Linked DNA regions of Tribolium castaneum. The protein of the gene in region 1 binds, or shares a complex with, the protein of each later gene. Links are inferred from orthologs where the notes say so. Each region holds a gene or a part of one and is shown in the gene's direction. Other genes may lie near its edges.

Region 1 (2,598 bases):
CCTCAGCATTTTTATTTATTAAGTGGAAAAATTATAGTTATGGACCTGTCCCGAGATGCCTTGATTTGCATGACAAAAGTAGAAGTAAAATCAAAGTTTGTTTAATTTCCAACAAAGTTCCAAATCAAATCTAATGCTTAATTAATAATTCACGTCATATAAATCATCTCGATCACGATCACTCTTAGTCATTTTGTCCTTTATCAGTTTTTTTTTCTTCTTCGTTAGTTTTATCACTTTTTGCTTCTATTTCTTCCTCATCGACATATATTAACTTATCCAGCCAACATTCACTATTGTCATCCCTATAATAGGGATGCTGTAAGTCTTGATTTTCATCATCGATAATGTGTTCCTTGTGACATCTGGGAACACAACGGTTGTGAAAGAAGTGTTCATACTTCACAAATGTTAGGAATAACCTTCCTTGTATTTCTTTTAGGCAGATTGAGCAAATAATTTTTAATTATACAGATTTCTGTTGTTTAATTTCCTCTTTCGATGTCTTTTTCAATTCGTATCTTCTTTTGTTGGTCCTTTTTTTTTTCAGAAGTTTTTGGATGGGCTAAGTAATTGTGTATTCACAGCTGACTAGATTTTTCTTGCTGTGTAATATTAGTCTCTGTATTCTTTATTCTTTCATTCCGAAGTACTATGATTTTTGGGCTTACTTCACTTTCTAATATAATGCTATTTTCTTGATCATTTGGACACCCCTGTTTAATAACTTCATTCACAAAAAGAAAAACGAAAAAGGTAACTATGCTACCTTTCTGTTGTGCTTTCAGTAGGAGTTCAAAAATAAATTTTCCTAAAATGAAAATGCGCAAAATATAAATTTTATAGTTACTGGAGATTGACTGATTGCCGTCAGTGTAAAAAATTCAAATAAAATACATGAAATAGCAAGATACAAACTTACCTTCGGTCTTAGAATTGTTGAAGACTTCGAAAAAAAATAAGATACCAAATAATACAACAGTTCCTGTGACATAGTTCAGATTATCACTTGCGTATACAGGGTGAGTCAATAGTGGGTTATTTCTGACATGTCCTAAGATGCAACCAAAAATACTAATTGCACTTCCTACTTGGATACTTTGTTTGATTTTTCAAAACATTAATTAAATCAGTATTGTTGGTTGCATATTTAAAAAATTCAGAACTAACCGACTATTGACTCAGTCTATCGATGTTTTCTTTTTTTTAACAAACATTTTATTTCCACTGGTGGTACTACAATTTATTTATATGACATGTAGATCAAACTACGTCTTTTCAAAAAAAACAATAGAAGAAATAGTTTACGCTTCATATCCTACTAATATGAGTTCAATAGCTATCCACTGTCGAATGTGTTTAAACCATTTATCTTTTGATTACAAAAGAATAGCTTCAATTAAAAAGTATTGGAAAACTGTATTTAGTTGCAGTGTGAAACAGTCTCTTTAGATCACTCTGTATTTCCGCTTTTCTTACACTCGCGGCAAATACTGTAATAATTAAATAAATATTTGTCTTTTAGATTTTAAGTTTTGTCCTCTTTGGCCTTACACTTAAAAAAAGTGTTTGTAATTTTAAATTAGTGACGTCACATTTTTTATCAGTCGAAAGCAGCACCAGTACCACTCCCAGCGCCAGACCCGCACCGACAACCAGCTTCGTCCCGTGTCGAACTTCTACGAGTACGAGAGTATCCAGTCGATGCTTAACAACCGTCGGGGGAACCCCCCGGTGCCCCATAGTAACCCGCCTGTGATGTACCAAGACGTGAACTCCAATTCCCTCCCTCGGCAAGGCCAACCACCCGTTCAAGGCCGGCACCCGAACCGTAACCACAGAGGGCCTTTTGTGACCCACGTGACTATCGGCGATAGCCAACAGAACGGGACTAAAGTGTAAAGGTGTTGAAACTGTTTTTTGTGATTTGTATCATCAGTATTATGAAACTGTTTCAGCGCCGCGTCCATTTTATCTGTATATACGAGCTTTATTTTATATTGTAAATAATTTATGATATGTATAATAAGAAAGTGAATTTTATACAAACAAGAAATACAGTTACAAAATTGTCCGTATTGCATCTTTATTTAAATAAGGTATACAATAAAGAATGGTGATATTACAATACAAATAAACACAACTTAAATGAAATTATGTAATTGAGGGAGTGGCGAGCACTCGAGAGCCAGCGCTGAGGTGTTTGGCGGGAGCTTGAAATGCAAAGTCTCCGTAGCATTCAATATAGAATTTGATATACACTTGCTCAATGTGAGCAATAATAATGAACAACATGCAGAGGCATGACTAACCTAAATCATAAACAAGCTAATTCATGATGGCAATGCGAACCGATGGGTATGGGTAACAAATGAGAAATAAATAAGTATAAAAAATCATAGTCTATAATATCACTAACAGCGAAATACGTATGGATGTCCACAAATAAAAACTCTGCACGTGTGTTCGGTCTCTAGGGAAGAACAGTAATCTGAATGTGTTTCTCAAGAGGTTACGGTGAAGAAGCTGTGAGTGTGAACATTGGTTTAGTTAACGGAAAGACTGCTGCGGCTGTACTGGAATCGGATGGGCAAGCGA
Region 2 (4,405 bases), on another chromosome or scaffold:
ACTGAAAGTGGAAGACAATGAATCGTAAAAGCATGCACGACTTGCGTTCCAACACACCTTTTCCTCGCAATTATCAATTTTTAACTCTTTAACTGTCTTGATTAGCTTTTCCACGAACATTTCGATGATTTCATCCAGTTTCGTGTTGTTCCAAATGGAGTTTTTTCGATAAGTAAAAATGCAAACTTTTAATTCTTTGAAGTCATTCAAAATTGAAGCTGCATCTTCACTCGTGCAACGACTCAGCTTAATTACGATATAGGCTAGCAGTTTTTGTAAAAGACTGTTGAATGTTTTCGGAACTTGCCATTGTGTTAACATTTTGCAAAGTTCAACGCTTGGGATTAACCAATTTTTTGGCATTTCGGATATTTCGGTGAAAACAACAACGTCGTCTGATATTTTGGTGAGAATATCGCTAATGCAGCAAACATTACGCTCATTTACTTCTTCCATAATAGTTGTGATTTTTTTTAACTGGAGGACGATTTTTTTGTATGTTTTTGTGGGAAATGGGTCAGGGTGAAGGTCAAGGCACAGGTTTTTTAAAGTCTCAGCCAGGCTCTTTTCATACATCATCCTAGAAGCATTTAAAACAAACAATTAAAAAAATTAAAATGTATGAAAAAAATGATTTGGACCAGTATAAGCATGGAAGTGGGAAAATTCTTGGAAAAATTTGGAGTTTTTCCGAGGTTAGAGATTGTGAACATGATATCATTTTCATTCGGTGGGTTTCGTTAGAAAACATAAAGTCGTATTCATTTGAACTGGAATAAGAGTAGGCTTTGATAATATAAGCGTAGAATAATAAATCATTTTGTAAATTTGACTCCGTCCATAAATCAGATATTCAAGAAAAAAGTTGCAGTTATTTTTGGAAAACTATTCAAACGTCGATTTTTTTAAATTTATTTAAATAAAAAACTAAGATAAAATTCGCAACTAAAGTTTAAATTTCTAAAGTTACCCATTATGCCATTAAAATGAATCGGACTTTAAGTTAATTTATGTGTTAAATATGTTATCAAATTTGGGCACTTACGTTGTTAATTTTTAATTAAATGTAAAAAAAATGTGGCAATAATTAATCACTTTCAATTAATTGACAAATTGATTGTGATCGATGCCTTCTAGATTATTGCGTTAAAAATGTCTTATGTTATTTACATTTTTGTTTTTAAATCACAAATGCTAGAAAAATGTAGGAAAATCGTTACAAGCAGGGTTGTAATTTTGAAATAATTAGTATATGAGTCGATAAATGAACTAACGGTGTGGATTATTAGTTTTGTCATATGACATAATAATCAATCGGTGGGTGTCATGAAGTCTCTGGTTGATTTTTGTATTTGCCCAGACCTCTATTCGCTTATCTATCGGAGTAGAAAAGAATTAATCAAACGCCAAATATTTGATTACTGATAAAAGGCTTAATATGACGATTCTTGAAATTTCGTGCAAATTCTGGGAACCATTTTCCACGTGACATTCCTTTTATAAAAGTCCCCTCATAAATATTAATTGTGATTGTATGTAAAGTCTTGTCTGTAGAATGTTCAGTCATCGTTTCGCAATCCTCTGAAATGTCACTAGCGGTGAATCGTAATTTTAATGAGAGAATTCGTCCGGAAATCGCGGTTTTCTTTCATTCATTCGCGTGAAATTATGAAATTCCCGGTCTTTTGCGCGCCCTCTATCGGAATTCTTGACACCAGTCGACGCGATGTAGTTGTCTACATTGACTGAATCTGTGTCGACAGACCGTGTAGTGCCGTAAAAAAGACAAAGACGTTTGAGTGTGGCAGCGATTTAGTCCGAAAACAGCCCCAAACCGGCTTTGAATCCCTTGATCGAGGTGCTCAGAGCAGCCCCGGCCTCCGAAATGGGGACGAGTGCGTGATGTCTATAATCAGGACGGCTGTGGAACGCATGTGGTGTGATTGTTCACCGGAGGCACTGTCCGTTTAAAGGGCCTCTAGAGGGGCTGCGCCCCGGGGGCTGACACAGCGGACACGAGGGTTCAATGGTAGGCACGCACGCCAGCGCACGAGCTATCAACATTTCGTGGACTTTTGCCGAGACTTTTTTATGGGGCTGTGCTCCAGCTGCGGCAAATCAAAGGACCGATTTAAAGGTAAGCCCCATGTTGGAGGGTTGGATACAAGAAACGCGCATCAGTGACATAATATTACCGAGATAACATTACCTTGAAGGTCGCAATATGTAAATAGTTCCGCTTTGGGTCGTGTAAACAGTCCTGCGCCCCGAACCCCCCCAAGGGTCGGCTCGCTCCTCTTCCAAAGGGTTGAAGGTCGCCGGACTGTTGCCGGGCCTGCGAAGGGCATCAACTATTCATGATTTAAATTGTTTATGCAGAGTTATTTTTAAACCATTTAATGGATAATTTAGGAAACTTTCAAGGCACGTTTCCTTCTATCAAATCGGTTTCAGTCATTCGCTCATTTTGGGGACAAAATTCGGCAACGATGAAACGGTTCATGGTCTTCTTGTGACATTAAAACGACGCGTTGTTGTCAAGTCGCACAAAAATAGCTCAAATTCAAATCGGGGATAATTTTAACACCCGCTTCCGGATTTGTTGACATATATCACGTGACTGTTGCTATTTTGACAGTTGAATATTATTATGTGTACAAAATTACGCAATTTAGGCGTCGCTTACTTATCGTCTTCCGGTTTTGATATTTGGGTCAACATTGATTTTTATTATAACATTACCTTTTTTTTATTAATTTTTTTAATTGTAATTGGTGCCAATGAACATGTCATAATAGTCATCACGCCTTTGTTCTGATGCAATAATGCAAGCGATTTTTTTTAAAGATTTTTCTTTGCTTTGTTGTGAAATTTGATCAAGTATTTTGAAATGTAAGCCAATGTGTGCTCATTGGTGCGAAATTACATCCACTGTTAAATATTTCCGTTCATAAAAATGTGAGCGAAATTAATTTAATGAGTAAATTTTATCTGCCGCATCGTTATCTATGATTTTGAGATATTGAATTATTAAAATGTGATACTGAGTACCTGTTACGAGAAAAATTAATGTAATACTCATTAAGTACTCGGCTCCGCCTCGGCCCAAAATTTACGATTTTTTTAAGTGTCTTAAATTGATTACTACAATTAAGATTAGCGTTTTTCGTTTTGATTATTAAGTTGCAGGTATAAAACGAGATGAAACCGACATGTCAACGGTCACGTATCATGTCCAAATATTTGCACAAATTGTAATTCCTTCTGTTTCCATTGATAATAAATTACCATTATCATCCTCCGTTTTTTGTATTTCGTCCAGATATTGCATAACCTCTAGACTTGTAATAAAGTGGGTAGAATACAAAATCGTAATAGTCAGACAGAAGGATAATAAAATAATGATAAGATAAAGACAAGTCCTTTTAGTGGGGGAGTACACTACATACTATAAGATTATACATATCTGCAACCGATAGAATTGCAATATGTAATGTTTTGTTCTCTCGCATCAGATAAATCGTCGAAAATATGTGGCCAACTACATTCAGTCGTTACACCCCTTCATGTGTCACATGAGCCCACAAGTTCGAACAATTTGAACGGGCATTTGCCTGTTCAAAATCACGTCAACGCAAGACCGTACTCTTCAGGTAATATGGCAACATCTTTCCCCAATATGAACATCACCAACCCTATACGGGGGCTGGTCAGCAAGAGGAGGATCCGATACAAGCAGGACGGGTTCAATCTCGACCTGACATGTATCCTTTTCAATGCTAAAAGAAATAATTCTGTTAGTACTGTTTTTAAAAGCTTTTATTTAATTAATGCTTTGTTGCCTGTGTTTCTGTTGTCCAAATAAACTGAAATTTTGCATACATACGTAATTTCCGTGACAATGCTATACTGTTTAGAGTTAATCACCCTCTAAGGGATTTTAGTGCAGATTTTAAATAAAAGCTTATTTTTAAAAATATTTTTTTAGTTACTTTCCTTGACTCGTTTGTAGACATAACCGATAGCATAATAGCAATGGGTTACCCGGCGTCCAACATCGAAGGCGTGTACCGCAACCACATCGACGATGTGGTGAAGCTCCTCGATTCGAAACACAACAACCACTACTTCATCTACAACTTGTGTTCGGAACGCACTTACGACACGTCCAAGTTCCACAACCGAGTACAAACCTTTCCGTTCGACGACCACAACCCGCCCAAAATCGAGTTGATTCAGCCGTTTTGTCACAGCGTTCACGATTGGCTGAGCAAAGATCCAGAGAACGTGGCCGTAGTTCATTGCAAGGCGGGGAAAGGGCGCACCGGGACCATGATTTGCTGTTACCTTTTGCATAGTGGAGCTTTTGCTACCGCTGACGAAGCCCTCGACCATTACGGACAAG

The links.
Region 2: the proteins of partitioning defective 3 homolog B (region 1) and Pten are in contact, whole or in part, in an NMR structure (PDB 2K20), measured with the Rattus norvegicus proteins. The link is inferred for Tribolium castaneum from reciprocal best matches to the Homo sapiens genes PARD3 and PTEN. Residues at the interface, in NP_112514.1 of Rattus norvegicus: Ala599, Gly600, Leu601, Gly602, Val603, Ser604, Val605, Lys606, Gly607, Asn608, Arg609, Ser610, Lys611, His614, Lys622, Ile625, Met659, Leu662, Arg663, Met666; in NP_113794.1 of Rattus norvegicus: Asp393, Glu394, Asp395, Ser398, Gln399, Ile400, Thr401, Lys402, Val403.

Annotation. Positions count from the first base shown.
Region 1 is NC_087395.1:16,312,853-16,315,450, reverse strand, and holds the end of partitioning defective 3 homolog B, read left to right. Parts: intron 1-1,607; coding exon 1,608-1,902; 3' UTR 1,903-2,074; downstream 2,075-2,598. UniProt on the Homo sapiens protein: Adapter protein involved in asymmetrical cell division and cell polarization processes. Seems to play a central role in the formation of epithelial tight junctions. Targets the phosphatase PTEN to cell junctions.
Region 2 is NC_087399.1:159,134-163,538, forward strand, and holds the start of Pten (phosphatidylinositol 3,4,5-trisphosphate 3-phosphatase and dual-specificity protein phosphatase PTEN), read left to right. Parts: upstream 1-1,535; 5' UTR 1,536-2,091; coding exon 2,092-2,137; intron 2,138-2,209; coding exon of another isoform or gene 2,210-2,351; intron 2,352-3,515; coding exon 3,516-3,764; intron 3,765-3,992; coding exon of another isoform or gene 3,993-4,012; coding exon 4,013-4,405. Other genes in the region: uncharacterized protein LOC103314152, read right to left, coding at 1-1, 58-580, 2,210-2,351, 3,993-4,395. UniProt on the Homo sapiens protein: Dual-specificity protein phosphatase, dephosphorylating tyrosine-, serine- and threonine-phosphorylated proteins.